Oreochromis niloticus: one gene and its partner. The protein of the gene in region 1 interacts with the protein of each later gene in a pairwise test. Links are inferred from orthologs where the notes say so. Each region holds a gene or a part of one and is shown in the gene's direction. Other genes may lie near its edges.

Region 1 (9,617 bases):
TAAAGCAGTCAGTGGCTGCATGCCTTCCAGTGCCTTGTAAGTTGTAAGATGAAGAACTTGTCTGATATATTCTACTTCAGATGTAAAGAAATTAAGACAAACTGATCAAATGTAGAAATTTCATAGATTATTTGATTACTGAATTCACAGCCACTTTCTTGTGGTGATACTCAAATACAATGAATTTGCTGAGATATTACTCAAAACCAGCAGAATTTAGCCTCTAATTATTCTATTTAATACTGGTATTTCAATCAATCTGATGGACTTAGCTAGTGACACCTATTCACTTCTTTAGTGTATGTTCTTTACCAATGCAGATGTCTTCTCCTGTCCAGAGTGATTTCCTCCTGTTGCTTTCTGCCATCAAACACGTCACATTTAGTCAGATTACCTTGCTCTGTAAGAAACAATTAGTCACTACAGCTCAGCATGTCAATAATGAGTATTTAATTAGCTCTTTGGAAAATTCTTTTCATGCTTTGCATTTACCTGTTTGCTTGCTGCCATCAAGTGGTATTGTGTTATATTTACCCTCACAGTAAAGAAGATAGAGAGCCTTGGATCTTTTTTCTTTTTCTTTTCTCAATTTTGCGAGTGTCATCATAGCTGAATAAAAAAAAAAGCAAATCCTCTGACATATGACAATGTTTGTTTTGTTTTTTTATTAAAATAAGCTAGCATTAACACTTTGAGCCTAGCTAGTTAAAATTCAATATAGATTCAAAAAATTAAAAATGTATTTCTTGTTGTCAGTAGCAACTGATATCTGTGATTGTGCCAGAGCATATTTTGAATCACCATCATGGGCATTTCAGATTTCAACACAGGTGGTTGATTGTTACACTCTGGAAACTGAATGAAGGTGAGCATCATAACCCCATAAATCATAAAAAAAATCACTTCAAATTTTTGGTGAAAAACTTGGTCATGACAGTGCAGATTCCTGACATTTTGTAAGCATGTAACAGTTTGATTATTTCTAACACAAGAATGTGAAACTTAAATTAGAAAAATTGTATTTCCAACTGATCCACCTCATGTTGTGTAGTATTCTGGATTTTATACTTATTGAGCTACATGTTTATTTAATATATAGGCTACACAGTAGCCTATATATAAAATCAAAATGCACATTTTTTATGTAACGGAAATGTTTTATTATTTGGCCTAAAGCCAATAAGAAGGTTACTGACCATGTTTATAGGAAACAGGTGTATACTTACTGCATTTGGTGTATTTTAAGCATATATAATAAATATTACAGAATGTAACACCTGCACATTGATTTTGCCACCCCATGTGATTTCCCTGTCACCCTCACGCCATCCTAGGAATATTTCTCTAGATCCACCCCTGCATGTCAGGACTGATATTGCAAGCTTACTGGCTAGAACTGAAGGTAGGTCCTATGTCATTCCCTATTCTATGTTTCTTTTTGACTCTGACTGGGGGTATAATAATATCTGAAATCAGCACTGCGTTCTATTTAATAAAGCTTAACTTACAATCTTAAGTATAACTGAAGTTACAGATCAAAAAAACTGAAAGGCATTTTCCTTACACTTATCTACAATTAGAGGAGTCGCCCTCTGCTGGCCCTGTGCTAAAAAGAATCCAGGTTTAAGGCACTGCAAAGAGCCACTGCTCTTCTGTGCAGTGAATAATGGCCACAGAGTTTCCTTTCAGGTTTTTACATGGTTGAAAATTTGTTTTCTACAATACAATGATCCATTTAAAGTTCAAGGACTAGGTTACATCACTGCTTTTAAAATGTCCACCTGTAACCGGTTGGTTTAACTCTTGAATACATGCTGTAAACACAGCTGTCTGTTGAGCTTGGAACTTAGATGTGGGCTGGAATCAAAGGCAACATTGTTTTCATTGTGTGTCATTACTTTTTTGTTTAAGTCAAATTTATTTTCTGTGTCTCACTGTGACGACATACAAAATGTCATGAGGGCAAAAGTAACTCGGAACATAAATTGTTACATTTTGGGATTACAAGTAGATATAGACAGGTCTATCCAGAAAATGAATGTCCTAAAACATAACATCAGAATATCATCAGAATAGTGCGCAATTTTGAGAGTCTGCGATTGAAATAAGGCTGGGTCTATTTTGTGGAAAATTGTAGCTTTTTTAATTTATTGAAAGAATAGCTGCCTAAGATGATGCATTTTATTTTCCAGCTGTTCCTTTTAAAAATGTGAAAAAATCACATTTGAATTAAAAAGAGATAACACTTTATTTCAAGATAATGTTAAATCAGAAAAATCCCATTTAAATTGATGTTAAAGCGTTGTAAAACTACTCAAGGAGTAATGGAGAAGTGAATGGTTTTCTTACAAATGGATGTTTTGGGTTTGTTTGGGGTTTTTTTTTTAAACTTACTCACAGATGTCATATTATTTCCAGGCCTTTCGGGCTGGTTTTCTGAACTTGCTGATAATTCTGTCTGCCCAGATTTATGTTGTTTTGCTTTCTTTAGATTTATTTTTTTTATGGTCTAATATTTTGCACTGATTTACTGTAATAACCCCTCCATCCATCACCATGTTCCTAAGACCTGTGTTGTCGAGAGAAACTTTTTCTGGTGGGCCTCCCAAAGCAAAATGGTCTTCAGATTAAGTGTCATTCAAATGAGCACTGAGTGGCCGAGCCTTAGCCCACTGGGCCTGGACCCAGAACAAGACTCATGAGTCCACCCTCCTGTGGAGGCAGAGGGAGCTATAAGGGTCTGGTGCTTTGTAGATCAAGTAAGAGTCAGTGGCTTTGGCAGTCACATCCCCAGCTGCCCAAGTTGACTTCAGGGACATAGAGACAGGTGAGGAGCTTGTTCATCTAGGACGACTCAGAGAGAACACCTGATGAGGATGGATCCTGCATGTGTAACTGGGAGAGAACATGCTGGAGAGATGATGACTCTTACTTGCCTTGGGAAAGCATTGGTCAAAAACATTTCTGCTGGATAACCTAGAGGCTATAGCCAGGTAAGAAGTGGGTCTGAGCATCTTTTCTTAGTCTGCTGCCTCAATGACCCAAACCCAGATAAATGGCAAAAAAAAAAAAAATGGCCCTGGTCCTGAGCAAGATTATACGTGAAAGCCAGGTCAAAGAAATCTGACAGCAGTCTGGCTGGACTCGGCTAATTCCTCACAATCTTCTCAGAACAGCACTGAAGCACTATCACATCCCAGACCACATCAAGGTAATAATCAGCAGTTACCTGAGAGGGTTCAAGCACCGCTTCAAGGCCAAAGACTACCTACAGAAAGAGATCGTCACCATTCCTGTTTGCTATGAGCATTAACTTCATCGTGACGTCACTATCATTGGAGCAGTGGAAAACGTAAGACAACTGGCAATAAGGGGCTTCATACCTTACAGTCACGACATCTTCCAACATGCAGGCAAAATGGGTTCTAGGTTCTAGGTTAATATCGCTGACAAGTGCAATCTGAGAAAGTGGTATGACAATTCACCAAGCGACAGAAACAACGTCCACAACACAAGAAGCACCACAAGCAGAGGGACCGCTGAAGGACACGAATAAATCTGACTACTGGGGAGGCTTAAGGCATGACTGTACCAATATGGCCTGCTCCCCAGGTAGATGTGGCTCATCATAATATATGAAGTCCCACAGTGGACAGAGGAGAACTAAGAAACCCGGAGGAGGAACAGAGGACGTTAGAAGTGGTGGAGGTTGGATCCAGGCCGTGACTGCTGACCTGCCAGCAGGAGACTGTTAGAGCATCAAAACACAATCGTGGCCTCATAACATTTCAACCACTGTGGGCCCCAAAGTGGCTGTCCACATCTTATTGCCAAAAGTTGTCATCCCAAGTCAATGCTTGTGTGATGAATGGCTCCCAGGGGTCCAGGCCCAGGTTACCCTGTCCCTTCAGCTGACATGGACCTTGGGAAGTCTGTAAATTCATATATATGTCTTTTTGAAACAAAAAAAAAAGCTGATGAAGCATGGTCTCACTTGAAACTTGAAAGGCATTCACTATGGGGCATAGGTGAGTTAAAACTGTTTTTTGGGCTGCTCAAGCAATTTGGCTTCAGTGTTTGTTTACACTACAGCTCCAAATCCAAGTGACAGCAAGCCAAAATAATGTGTCTATGTCTAACCTGTCTATGTCCAGCTGCAGCCTGTATTCAGTTTGAATATTGCTATAAACTGATATGGATCAGTTTATGCCTTTTATTCACTGTAACATTTAAGTTTTAAGACTGAGAGAGGACAGAGAGGGAGAGAAAGAGAGAGAACAGGATGAAGACAGCAAAGAGAGCAAAAAGAAACTGGTAAGAGTGGAAATGTAGTCAAATTCACCAAAAATGATGAAGCTGTAGGTTTCCCACATTCATTGATGATGAGTTTGCGTATGTAAGCAGTCTGCTGTCCTGTTGTCAGTTGTGGATACCCCTCTTATACTTATTACTGTTCTATAATAACTATTATGAGATTATATTTGTTGTCATTTTCTAGCTTCTAGCTGAGTGAAGAGGATGGAGAGAGAGAGAGGACAGAGAGGTTGTAGAAGAACAGGAAGATTGAGGGAGCACACAGTGAAGTTAGCTGGAAAAAACAAAAGTTATTTTTCATAAAGTAGTTTTTCATGTATTTTGTGGATGCTTTGCATGCTTTCCAGTAGCACACTTAAAAATGCCAATGGAAATTCTGAACAGGACATATTGATATGAATTGTAGCATTTTGCAGGATTTAAAAGCTTTAATATAAAACAGCTCTACTACAGTTTGCTTTGTGTCCTGCCACTATAGAGTGGCAGGATGATTTTCTACTGTCTGTACTGATTAATGCCACTTTAAGTGCTTGATGATTTGGTGGACTGCCTCTGTGTGATTGAGAGACTGGAATAGTGTTGTGCATGTTTCTCATCTTATCTGCTTTGCCACAAATAATTCAGTAACTTCTTTAATGACTGAGCCTTTGGCTTGAGTTTAATAACTAAATGCTCCACACTAAAATGGTGTATTAGATTGAAATCTCTGATTACTCACTCTGACTTATTCTTTGACACTACAATTGATCATCCAACTATTAGGCTGCTTTTGAAGGTAACATTGTAATGTTTATCCAATTGAATTGAGGTTTGCAACTGTAAAAGGGGTTTATTATATTTTTTGCAAAAAACATATTCCATTAATACTAATTACACTGCACTGCATGCATGACATTATGATTGGGAGCTGACCCCCCCTAAAGGTTTGAGCCTAGAATCGCCATTGCTATGTGGTACTGTTTATGGTATTATGCATACCGCTTCACGGTGTGGTTTCATTTACCTTTTTTATTCTTGAATTTGTTGTATATGTTGTGAAAGTGGTAGCAGTGATCTCTGCTCCCTTTTTATTTCATTTTTTATTTATTTAACAACAAAGTGAAGTGAATCTAATACCTCCTGACTTTTTTTTTAGAAGAAAGGTGATTTTTTTCCCCCCATCATTTCCACTAAGAGTGGAAGTAGTGAAATGCATCGTAAATTTCCGAGCAGACCCTGAAGATCTCATTGTGTAGCGTGGCGAGGGCGGACCGTGTGACGTCGAGCCGAGGCTCTGGCTGTTTATTGTTCCTTCCTCAGCACGGACAGAGAGAAACGGGCTAACAGTCTGTCAGCCACTTTCTTTACACGGTTAACGGTCGATTTTACGAAGGTGTAACGGGCTAGACAGCTAACTGCACAAACCAGGGGTCATGGCGTATGCGTACCTCTTCAAATACATCATCATCGGAGACACGGGTAAGTTACAGCAAGTGGCAGCTAGACTGCCAGTTAGCATTTACCTAGCTCTTAGCCGCTAGCTAGCGGCGTATTTCCGCAGTGTTGGATAGTTCAATGACGTGGTAAAAGCAGAGACAGAAGGGGTGGGATGACAGCTCCAATCCTTCTCTGTTAACATATTTAGATAACAATAAGCGACCCCTGGCAGTGTTAAAAATCCACACAGGAATCTTGACACAAGCTGCCTTGGAGTAGCTTGTGTCAAGGTTGATAGCGGCTGATAAATGTTTGGGCCTTTTGTCCCTTTGCGTCGAGGGTGGGGGTGTTAGCCACAGCTTGCCAGCCCAGCTAAGTAGCATTAGCTTTTCCACCAAATATTTAGCAACCGGCTGTCACGACATCCAAATAACGCTTCACTGACTGCAGCTACATACGACAGACAACCACACTACCAATTTCTGTTATTGTACATGTCTTATAATTACTAAACATTAGCCTAGCTTCTTGTCAGAGAAGGCCAAGACGCCAAGCTGCACCTCTAATATTCCCTGAAATGGCGTAGACCAGATCTAATTTCTGGCTACATATATCCTCGCGATTTGGAGTCGTTGCACGGTTTCATGTTTTGCGCTTCATTTACCAAAATGTAGTTTTGTATATCTTGTGCTGGAAACCACTCAATTAGCCGGCAGTGTTGTCATCTGTTTACTGTTAGCAGGCTGTACTGATGAGGGCTACCGCTGTGTGGTTCCAGGTACATTTCTATATTATACCGTTATATTATACTGTTATAGCACCAGTTTTAGAAAAGCAGGCAGGTCTTACAGCTGTGAGGTACAACGAGAGCTTTAGTAAGATAAACTGCCAGCGATAGCAAGAAGCAGCTAGAAAATTTTCAGAGTAAATAGATATTGGGGAAACACTCCCATTGTGAGGATATGTAGTTTTGTCTTAGATGATGTACACTGTAGTGGGCTTCATGTTTACTACACTGTTATTGCCAAGCAGGGTCACGTTCTGCCTGCTGCTGTTATGATTTCGTGCAAGTATGTTGTTTATCTTCAGTAGTGAGTGTTGAAAAGGTCCCAGCTTGATTACACAGATGTCTAGACCAGAAATACTCCATCTGTGCGCCACTTACTTTTACCTCACGAGGCTTTTTTCAGCACACACGCGGGCATTGCAGTGCTAGCCTCGTTTTTTTTTTTCTTCAAGCATATTTCTAGGGAGAAATTGTATTTATTTTTTAAGTAAAATATCTGGTGTCCAGGACATAACATGTAATTAATATTAGTGTCAAAAAAACGGCTGGGCCAAATGTTCCATAGCTATCATCTTCTCATCATATGACATTACAAATTTAGTGTGGGGTGTTTGGGATCACTTTCAGAAATCCCTGGAAAGAAACCTAACATTAGTCTGCCAGCTGAAAATCTAATTGGCTCACTGATTTGTTGTTGTGATCAGTAGAAAGGCTTCTAAAAAGGTTTAGGGACAGTAGTAGTAACTGTATACAACAGTAAATAACTGTAAAAACATAATTTTCTGCATATAATATGTCATTTTAATACAACTTTACATAATCCCACTATATCTGGCTGTGTTCTGTCTGGCTCAGTTCATCTGGGGCTGAGAGATACATCAAGCGTGATTCTCAGAAGCAAAAGCCTATCCAGCGTTTGCTTGGGTAAAATATATTTTTCCAGCATTGTCAATGATGAGACTCAAAGGTGCAGGAGTCATGATGTTTACTTATACTAGATCATGTGATTTCTGTCAACAAAGAGGTCAGCAGTTACACTTATGTATAGGAGCCAGGTCATTTTAAGTAAGAAACTAGCCTGCAATGTTGTGATCATACTATGATGCAAGTCAGACTGATCGGATCATCTTAAACTAAGGTGGGTTGGGTAGAAGGGATTTAATCTTGCAAACAATGTATGTAGCACTGTTCATATGCTACAGTGCTTATTGCTAATTACTTAGCGGTGGCTGGGAACAGCGAAGCTGCTTACGAGTTGCTCTACATGCAGGAAGAGAGGGGAAGGAGACAGTGGGGAGTTTATCTCTTGCTTACCAGCATACCAGCAGGATGGCACCCAATCATATTTAGTCAATACAGGAATAAATGATTCAGCCCACCTTTATTAGTGAACATAAGTCAATAGATGTTAGCTGAACAGGTATAACAGTATGAAATGATAAGATTTGTCTGGTTCTTTATTCCCTTGTTAAAATTGAAAATTTCTAGAGCTATATTTTATCGTAAACAATGCTAATACCAGGCTATAGCTTGGGCAAAAAAACAAAAAAAAGCCCAGTGCATAGGTCTGCAAGGCATGTAATTCAGTGGGTGAATCACTGGTATGAGTAGAACTTGCTCATTTTTGCCACCACCTAACTACTTAACTAACTAGTTAGACAACATCAGCTTGGCTTGTGGCAACTTTGTGGACAAAGTGTGGGGCAATTTGCCTGCCTTTGTATGTGAACAATGTGTCTGAAAGAGAAAGGGACATCTTCTGGAAGAACTCTTCTCTTTTCTTTTTTATGATTGTTTAAAATGTCTAAAACACTACCGTGTACCACACAGTTGGTACAAAGTGTTTGTTTGAGCATCTTTGACTGTGATCGTTTTTTGTATTTTCATTAGGCGGTCAGTTAAAATGTCAGTTTTTACACATTTGTATGACTGTATTTAATAATTTTATTTTATAATTATTTGTTTCTTCTATGTTTTATTCCCTAGAATATAACACATCTTGTCTTGGTCTTATCTTCACCCTAAAGTAGATATGATGGTTCCTGGTCTGTACAGCTACATGTTATCAAAATCTAAAGCCAGTCATGGAGTAGTAGTTGGACAAGTTTAACTTGGGTGTGTCGTCTTGTTACCTTGTAACTGCTCTGCTGAGCCAAAGCAAATCCACAAGTTTAAACACCAGAAAAACCTCCGATCTCCAGGTTAATCAATGTTCAGTGAGGCTTTTATTGTGAAAAGTAATCATTAAGGCTTCCATCTTCCAGGTGTGCTTAGTAAGATGGTCAGTACCAGTAAGATTGGCAGTCTTTTAGTGCAGTGTGTAATCATTCATCTACACATGAAGAATGAGGAAGATGTATTTCCAGTCAGTGAGTTTTAGTTGGGTTTTTAAGGTGTGATGCGTAGACATCATTTTAGTCAGAGGAAACACTCGCAGCTAATACTCATACAGCTGGTGTTCTTAACCCCACCTGCCAGACATGTATTCAGAGCTGACTTTTTCTCTTTTTTTTTTGGTTGAACTCAATAAATCAACTAGTTTCTCACAGAGGTTTTTCTTTTAAAATATTAACTATAATTAATACAGAAATACAGCTGCAGTGTATGACTTTCTAGGAGAAAAAAAACACACAGACACAAGTCACTTTGTCCAGTGGCATCCTACCTTTTTTGGCATGTAGTGTGTTTCGGTAGTTGTTCACCTTAGGTGTAGATTCGTGGCCTGCTCTTAATTTTCTTGACCTTTATCTAACTTGTCATTTTAATTTGGCCTCTACCCATTGTTGCACAGGCCCTGGCCTGCATCCTTGCTGTGTTGCTGATGCTTTCTGAAATGTGACATTTGTCAAAACTTACCGTATATCATTCCAGGTGTCATCACCTCTCTCTCCTCTTATTTTCTCTCAACTCTTCGTGGAGTGTTTGAGGAGATGCTTTGCTTTATGACTTAAAGGAGTAACAGGCACTTGCACGGGCAAATAATGATCAATTGGATTGACTATTCTGAGACAGAAAAAAAGTTAATTCAGTGTTGACTGTCTCTCTGACCCATGGCCAGGCTGTCCTCAGATATAGCTGGCAGAAGACAAACTGCATCTGA
Region 2 (9,581 bases), on another chromosome or scaffold:
CTCTTACCAGATACTAAAAATAAGGGAGGCATGATTAGAAAGATGGGCACCCCAGCTACTGCCCAATCTCACTCATAAATGTAGACATTATAATGCTTTGCAAAGCCCTTGCAAGAAGATTCGAAAAACTCCCTCCATTCATAAATACATGCTGATCAAACAGGTTTTATCAAGGCAGACACTCAGCCAATAATACACAGAGACTAATTAATGTAATAGATTATTGCTTTGATTCATTCTTGATAAATTGGATGAAAACACTATACAGCTCTCCAAATGCATCCGTTAGGCCAAATTATGTTACATCCCAGAGCTTTCTAAATCTAAAGAGGGGCACCAGACAGAGCTGCCCCATTGCTTTTTATTCATTTTCATCGAACCACTAGCAGCAGCACAATGTAGATATTAAAGGAATTCAAACTGAAAATACAGACCATAAGATAAGGCTATATGCTGCTGATGTATTGCTTTTCCTTCTGAAGACAATAACATTCATAGATAAGTTCTCATCCATATCAGACTACTCGATTAACTGGAGTAAATCAACAGTTCTAACTCTGAACTGCAAATTTCAGAACACCTCCACCAGTCCACTACAATTACGTAATATTAGATATTTAGGTATAGATTTTCCGACCAAGCTCTCACACTTGGTACAATTAAATCATATTCTGCCACTAAAAATAAAGAAGAAGAAGAAGATCCCACACATTGGAATACTTTACCTATATCACTCATGGGAAGAGTCGCACCACTTAAAATGATGGTTCTGTTTCAAATAGACAACTGGTTCTCGGTGATCTCTAATAAAGTCTTTACTGCCTGGTTTAAGTCACTAGACTCAAACGTCTTGAAATGTCTGTGGAAAAATAAACCATCACGTATAAGTTGGGTTTTTTTTGGCTTTAATAGAGTTTTCAATGGTGGTCTACAACTACCAAAATTGTATTACTCCTTCTTGACCAATAGATTGCTATATCTTTCAAAATGGATCAAATCAAGCTCTCCTGTGGCTGGAAGAAGCATTGTGTGGGAAAGTAAAAATCTCTAGTCTGCCTTTCATAAGCTTAGAAAGCATTAAGCATCATAACTGCTTTAAAAGCCTTAACATAAACACCTCTCTGAAAGCCTGGTGGGAATTTTTAAAAATAGCTCATTCTTAACTTATCCCATGTAAACTAACATCCATTTAACAATCCAGATATCTGCCAGAGACTTGCTGGTCTGGGCTTTGAAAGCTCTGAGGAGGGGAGGTCCATGGGGGTTTCCAGACTGTCTGGGGTGTAATAGCAGGCAAGCAGACAAGGAGGCGAAACAGATGTCCAGGTGAGTCCAAACTGTGAGAAACAACAACCTCTAAACTCAAGGAGAACAAGGTTACACAGGGAAAAGCAGGTAGAGGAGGTCTACAAGTGCTTGCTATGTGGTCTTGTGTACCTGTCCAGAGGTTTTGGCAGAGGTTATGTGAAGACTATCCACATGGTTTAATTGCTGTATCCCACCCTCATTGAAGCTGAGCATCTTGGCTGACGTAAGTGAATTAGATATGGAAACAAAAACATCACATATAGTCCTTACTGCCCTATGCATTGCTAAGAAAACTATCCTCATAACTGCAAATGAAAAAAACAGTTTGTGTATTACTCAATGCAGAACTTTACTTCTAGATCACATTAGTTTGGAAAAAAATGTCTGTCTCCTCGAAAAAACGAACAAACAAAAAAACTATTGAATGAATTTATTTCTTATTGGTCTGCACTGATCAATTCCTTTACCTAGTTGGGGGTGGTCAGCTATAGTCACATTTCCCTGTGTGGCTTGCAGGTGGCTGGGGGTGGACTCTGGGTCTAAGGAAGTCTGGCAGTTTTCTGGGGTCTTAAAAGCTGCAGCTGCTGTTTTGTGGCACACGTATGTCTGCTTTGGTCGGTGGTGGTGGGTGGCTGTGGGGAGTGCTGCCTTGTGGTCTTGGGATGTGGGGCCTGGGGTGGTGGGTGGCTGGTCTCCCTTGCACAGATCTGGGTGCAGGGCCCAGGATGGACCAGTAGTTGAGTGGGTGGTGTCACAACAGGACCCACACACAGATTCAATCACAGACATCAAGTTCTCACACAAGCTTTAGTGCAAAACATAAAACTATACAATAAAAAGCTATTCTATTCTATTCTAAACAATTGCACAAGGAGAGATTGCTTAATGTGCTGGGAGGAGAAGGCTAGGGAGAATCTTGTGTCTTACTTGGCAGGAGGAGCAGAAGAAGCTCCTGGGGGAAGTAATATTGACCAGGTGAGTGTCCAGAGAGATGGGAGTGTGAAGTGAATCCAAATTGGTTTGTACAGTGATCCAGAGCAGTGGAAGGCAGGCAGGCAGGCAGGCAGGCGGTGAAGCATGATCCAGAAAACCTGAAGCGGCTTGAGGATTTCCAAAATGGTGAACAGCATCCGGGTAGAAATGCAAACTGCACACAATGTGAGAACGAGGTAAGTTAATTATAGATGTGACATGTGAAGCAAAGGTGGCCTGTTACTAACACGGGTTAGATAACAAACTGGCGAGGAACAGATGTGGACACTGGTCTTAAATAATAATAATAAAAATAATAATGGATTGGATTTCATATAGCGCTTTTCAAGGCACCCAAAGTGCTTTACAATGCCACTATTCATTCACTCTCACATTCACACACTGGTGGAGGCAAGCTACTGTTGTAACCACAGCTTGCCTGTTGATAGTCCTGGATCAATGACAGGTGAGCATAACAGCCACGGTGCAGAGGAAAGCACAGTGTTCAATACCGTCGACCATAATATCCTATTAGAGCGATTAGAACATGCTGTAGGTACTACAGGTGCTGCGCTGCAGTGGTTTGTATCATATCTATCTAATAGACTCCAGTTTGTTCATGTAAATGGAGAGTCCTCTTCACACACTGAGGTTAATTATGGTGTTCCACAGGGTTCAGTGCTAGGACCAATGCTGTTAACATGATACTGCCTAAGGGAAGCATGTATGTTCAGATTATTATACATGCTTCCCATTAATGGCCTCATAGTACCATATCACCCTATTAGAGCCCTTCGCTCTCACACTGCAGGCTTCTGTTAATTTGTGCATTTTACTCTGTGAGAGGAAGTTCACACTCACTTCCTGTATTTATAGCTTCCTGTTTATTGGTGACTTCACAGAAAGGGACAAGGTGAAGAGAGGGAAGAAAACTGTCCATTTTAGGGTTTTGTTTGCTTTAGTGTTGAATGTATTATTGTAAAATGTAATGGCTACAGTTTAGAAGTGTGTGTTTTGTTGCTGGTGAAAAGTAAGTAAGAGGATGATTATAATATTTAGTCTCATGTATGTGTCTTACCTGGATGACTGTATTCTATTTGTATGGAATAGCCCATTGGAGGCAATTTTGTTTGTATAGCTTGAGAGTATTTAAACAAAAGAATTTAGTTGTTCAAGAGAAGAGGACTAGGTCAGTGTGCATATGAGATTCATTTTGGTTGGTTTAAGTTTCGTTATGTTTATTTGTCCAAGTCAGCTTTTGAGTTATTGATTTTTGTAAATATTTTTTGTCACGATGTTTGTAAATAAATCACCTGCTACATTGGTCAGCATCTGTTTCCTGTGCTGCTTCAGCCACTTTGGCCAAGCCATCTCAGTCATTTTGCAGAATTTGATTTCCTGCTCTTTTAGTTGTTTCAGCTGTTGTTGGGGGTTGTACAAAAATGTTTTCATGAGCTTTTAACTGAGATTCTGAGTTTTCTAAAGCTACGACTGATGTCTGTATTTAAATAGACTTTGCATCACATTGTACTAAACCTGTTCCCATGGGCAAGAGGGGCTTAAGAAGTTAATAAATTGTATTTGGGGAACTCCGGACTGAAGTTTCCCTGGGTCAAATCACCAAGAACAATGACTAAGGAGTCCCTGTTTGTCTGCTCCACACAGCATTTGCTGAGCAAGCAAGCACTGGGCTTGACATGGCATGTACACACAGACTAGAATAAATTAATACAACTCATGTGAGGAGTTTGCAGTGAATGAAAAAAATATTCCAGATGACTGTCACCAAAGCGCTTACTAATAGGGGGTCTGTGAAAAGATTTTGTTTATTATTCAAATATGCTTTGCTTGTAACTGTGTAAAACTCTGAATGATATGCTTTGCTTGTGATTGTGTAAACTCTGAATGACGATTCACCCTGATAAACATGAAGCCTTGCCTATGCTTATCATATGCCGGTGAAGACAAGTTCCTGTGAAGAGGAACGGAAAGTTCCACTTAAGCAGATGTTTAGTATAGTATGAACAGAACATTTTAGCAAGATATGCATTTGTCTGTTAAGCAATCTATATTCTTTAGCAAGATATGCATTTGCAATCTATATTCTGAGAACAGGCGGAGACTGCCTCCGCCCTGTTGAGTAACCTACATGCCTATATAACCTGCAATAAAGAAGTGTACTGGTGTGACTCTCATTAGAGACGTTCACCCATGTACATGTGATTGATTATATTGTCTCACTGTGTCTCTGTTTTACTTTGGCAGCCTTCTATTTGGGAGATTTCCCCCAACAGGGTCATATGATTGTTGGGTTCTCTGTTGTATTACTGTAGGGTCTGCCTTACAACATAAAGCACCTTTTGGCGACTGTTGTTGTGATTTGGTGCTGTATAAATAAAAATGAAACTGAACTGAAAGCAGTGTTTCTGAATAAAATGAGCATCTTCCTCAGTGTTATTCAGTCCCATCTTTGTCGAGTCCTCCAGCAGCTCCTAGAAAACAAGTTAGATGTGTAAAGGTAGGATGTGTCAGTTTCATGCTGACAATGTTTCCGTCCTTGGCTACATCACTGAAAAGGGTCAAATCAGAGCCAACCCAGCTCAGGTCCAAGCGGTTCTGGATTGGCCAGAGCTAACCACTTGAAAACATCTTCAGCAATGCCTCGGCTTCTCTATGTCTTTTATGTTGCTTCAGTTGTCCAGTCTCAGAATATACATGTCAATATTCACCTGTCATCCAGCCAAAGTTCAAGTTCATGTTTATTGTCATATGTCATATACAGACAACATTGTAGCAACATTTACCCATAATGTGAATCCTTAGACCCGTGTTCCCCAACTTTACATGAACATATAGAAACTATACAGGTATATTAAAGAAAAGAAAGTAATAATAATAATAATAATAATAATAATAATAATGATAAAAGTCTCAGAGACGTCTGAGTGAATGTCTGCCTGTGCCACCTGTCTTCAAAACAAAACTTCTGCCACTCTCCCAGTTGGTCTTCTGCATCATACCTGGAATTGCCACTGGTCCCACATTGCACTGGATTTCGTTACCTGACTGCCTCCATCTGCAGGTAACATTGTCGTTCTCACAACTGACTGTTTTTCACACGCTGTATACTTCATTACTCTCCCCAAGTTCCTCTCTGGCCATAAAACCAACCACATCGCTTTACTTAGAAATAACTGAGGAGGTAAAAGGTATCAGGCAATATTTAATTATCTTAGACAAACGCATTTGTATGATATTCTGGTCCATACTCCATACCAGTTGGTGGCGGTAATGCACCAATTCGTTGTTTGTCAACAGCCAATAAACACAAGGAAGAAAAAAAGAAGCAGAATATCGTCAAGCATAGGAACTCGGCTAGTGCCACTTCCATCATGTCAGGATAGAAAAGCAAACAAACAGCAGACAAAGCTCGGTAGAACCATCCTTTTCCGAAACGGAGTCTTTACGATGGAAGGCGAGGAGGAGAGGGGTGTTGTTCGTGTCAAAGTCAAGGTAGGAGAATGATGGTTTCTTTGACTTCCAAATAGGCTGCCAAAGACTGCTAGCAGCGAGCAATCATATTATCGCATATGTTAAATTGGCTGTTTGGACAGACATGCTCCCGCGTTAATGTTAAACGTCGAAAATATGCACTCCGTAAACAGGATGTTTAGCAGTGTGCCATAACAGAGGGGGCCTCATCGCTGCTATTTATTTGGGTTTTTTCGGTAGCATTGCTTCTTCTCGATGCCGATCAGTCATTGTCCCTGTCAGTTTATACTGAGTAAACCTGTAAGATACACCTGACACGGTTATCGGTCATAACACGTTGACAATATCCAATGCAACGCTAAACATCGGGCTGTCACAGAGGTGAGCTGACGTCACTTGCCTGCCCAGAAAATGTGTGCCTGTAGGTATCCCCGGCGGTGTCTGTTTCCCCTGCGTCGGGAGCACGTCCGGTTGACTCCGCCTCCATTACAAACAGCGAGACGTGGAAGTAGTGATGTTTACTTTAGTGAAAAACTGAAAGATGACTGTCGTTACTTTACCGTTCAGTTTGTGGGTTACAAACAGAAAATGATACATTTATTGTTCTCACTTTATGAGATTATTTTAACAAACCGACGGCATTTTGCCCCTTAATTATTTTAATCCTCCTGTAACTTTACTGCATAAAGAGCTAAAACTCCAAAATTTCAGGAGTAGTTGATCATTGGAAGAAGTGTTTGTGAACTAAAAATCAAGAATGATGAATAGGGATCGGTATTGATAAGATTTTTACTATTCCGATTCCATTTTCGATTCTGTTTAATGATTCGGTTCTTTATCGATTCTCTTCTCGATTCTTGCTTTTAAAAAAAGGAGATTACTAAGGTCGATTAGCTTAGAACTTTGTTTTATATCTTCTCTTTAAACAAGATAGAAATTTAGGAGTAACATGGCCTTACAAACCCAACAGTGAGATCTTAAGAGATCCACAGCCTACGGCTCTTCAATGGGGTGTCACAGGGTCCCCAGGAAAAAAAAAATGTAAATGTAAAATAATAAAATAAATATTTTTCTGTAGCAATAACAAAGTATAACATAAATTATTCTGTAGCAATTACACAAGACTATCCAGTAACCTCCCTGCCTACAATTAAACACATTCACTTACCGAAAATCGGGGGCATCTGCTGTGGCAAATGGGTGCAAGCCTTTGACCACAAACTTAGTCACTGCTCGGTGACATTCGTCTATCCTGGCCTGAAAGGAGACGCTAACGGTAGACTGCAGCGAGAACTGCCAGACTCTGTCTCTCTCATCATGGTCGCCTAAATGCACAGTAATGGCAGGTTTTGTAATAAAGCAGATCGCGCTAACATAACATGCACTGTTAGTTGATTATTTACCTGCCGCATTAACGGGAGAGGACGTGCAAACGTTACCGCTGCTGCTGGGTTGAGATTCACGAGTCCGGAGCGGAATTAAAAACACGACATTAATTTAAGGTTATGGCGTGTTTTGTGAGCAAATGCTTTTGCATATTCGTAGTGTTTCCTCCTTTAAATGAAATATCTACTTTGCAAGTATTGCAAGTTGCCCTGTTGTCATCCGTTATAAGTATAACCAAACTTTTTAGCGTTTGAGCCGCGTTTCCTGCCAGGTAAATGACCCTCCGCAACGTGGTGACGTCATTCGGGGCGACTGGAATCGATAAGGGAATCGTTTCCAAGGAATTGAAACAGTGGGAACCGGTTCTCAACAAGAACCGGGTTTTGATACCCATCCCTAATGAGGGAAACTCTTTGTTCGTGATTTGGAAGCAAAGTCTGCCGGGGATGCCTTGGCAGGACAGGTGCACCAGCATTTTTGTTGTGTAATTTATTATCTGCATCAAAGACATAACAGCTTATAATGTTACGAACCTTTTTGCTGTATATTTCACAATACTTAGAAGTTTAGAGGTCATAATATGACAAACTTCATGCAGAGGAAAGAAATGTAATGGCTTTTTGTGACACGTTAATGTTGTCATTAATCAAAAAGAAGTTCATAATACTGTTATAGTTGCATAAATAAAAGTACGGTAGAATGTGTAGAAACTAAAAAGCTATAGGTTCAATATCCGAATGTACATTTGAACAAAATGTATTCAAATATTGAAACAAATAATAATGTTGATTGATATAAAAACCAGAAAAAAAAAATCCCTTCATCCTTCAAGCTCGGGTCTACCAGAGTCTTGGGAGCTTAAGGGTCCTGCGCAGTATCTTTGCTGTTCCTAGTACTGCGCTCTTCTGGACACCACTACTGTATCTGGTTGGTGGGCCATCACCAGTTTATCTGTCTGTAACCGGAAGTCCCACAGAATCTTAACTCGGTCATTCTCAACCACACTGGGAGGAGTGTCCAATTTTGACCTCGGGACCTTCAGGACATAATTGGTGCAGATGTATCTGTATACTATGCCGGCCACTTGGTTATGGTGTTCCATGTATGTTTTGCCTGCTAGCATCTTACACCCTGCAGTTATGTGCTGGATTGTCTCAGGGGCATCTTTACACAGCCTGCACCTGGGGTCTTGCCTGGTGTGGTAGACCCCAGCCTCTATGTGCCTATGTAAATGGTAAATGGACTGGTTCTTATATAGCGCTTTTCTACTCTCACTGAGCACTCAAAGCGCTCATCATACCCATTCACACAAGCACTTTATCTAAGGTTTATCGTGCTTCTACTCGCATTCACACTCCGATGGATGCATCGGAGGGCAACATGGGGTTAATATCTTGCCCAAGGATATTTGGCATGTAGACTACGAACCACCAACCTTCCGGTGAGTAGGACACCCGCTCTACCACCTGAGCTACAGCCACCCATGTGCTGTCACTCCGGCTTTGTCCAGCCACTGGTAGGATTTCCAGCCACTTCGTCTATCTGCCGGTGGTACATACAGGGGCCTTTCTGTCATGATGGTTCTTCTTCTTGGTCCTCTTCTTTCTTGGGCTTCTGCTGCCTAAGCTATTCTCTAAGCACACAGTCAGTTGTGGCCATCTTCCTGCTGTACTCATGGATGCTTGTTGTCTCATCCTGGACTGGTTCTGACACTCACCAGTCCTCTGCCTCATTCCTTCCGCTTAGTGTACAATCTCAAGGTGCTGGATTTGGGTTGAAACTCTCCACGCATTGTAAGGAGATTGATGTAATCTCTCCAGCATGTCCTGGGTCTGCCTCGGTGCCTCCATCTGGTGGGCCATACCCAGAACACCTCACCCAGAAGGTGACGAGGAGGCATCCTAATCAGATACCCAAACCACCTCAACTGGTCGTGGTCCTTTTCCAGCTGAGGACCACAACCTCAGATTTGGAGGTGCTAATTTTCATTCCCGCTGCTTAGCACTTGGCTCCAAACTGCTCTAGTGTAAGCTGGAGGCAACCACCTAGGCCACATCATCTGCAAACAGCAGAGGTGAGTCTCACTGTTTTTCCCATGTGAGCGTTGAAGTTTTCCAGTAGGATGACAGAAACACCAGATGGATCACCCTAAAGCATCCCACACAGTGACCCCAAGAAGGCCGGCTAATCTGAACTGTCCGTTGGTGCAAAAGCACAGATGACAGTCAGGACCTATTCCCCAAAGGTGCAGGAAGGCAACCATCTCATCCACCAGCAAAAACCCCAGCATATTGGCAGCAAGGTGAGAAAATACAAGAATACCCATCCCTGCCAACCACCTGTCACTGAGGGCCTCCAGACTGGAACAGAGTCCAGCCCCAAGCTGTGCATTGAGGTGAGACCTACTGTAACTTTATGTATCC

Evidence for each region.
Region 2: the proteins of rab2a (region 1) and tbc1d25 interact in binary tests that used the Homo sapiens proteins (3 or more experiments, as listed by UniProt). The link is inferred for Oreochromis niloticus from reciprocal best matches to the Homo sapiens genes RAB2A and TBC1D25.

The regions. Positions count from the first base shown.
Region 1 is NC_031982.2:2,291,768-2,301,384, reverse strand, and holds the start of rab2a (ras-related protein Rab-2A), read left to right. Parts: upstream 1-5,555; 5' UTR 5,556-5,726; coding exon 5,727-5,772; intron 5,773-9,617.
Region 2 is NC_031984.2:36,193,148-36,202,728, reverse strand, and holds the start of tbc1d25 (TBC1 domain family member 25), read left to right. Parts: upstream 1-5,592; 5' UTR 5,593-5,748; coding exon 5,749-5,793; intron 5,794-9,581. UniProt on the Homo sapiens protein: Acts as a GTPase-activating protein specific for RAB33B. Involved in the regulation of autophagosome maturation, the process in which autophagosomes fuse with endosomes and lysosomes.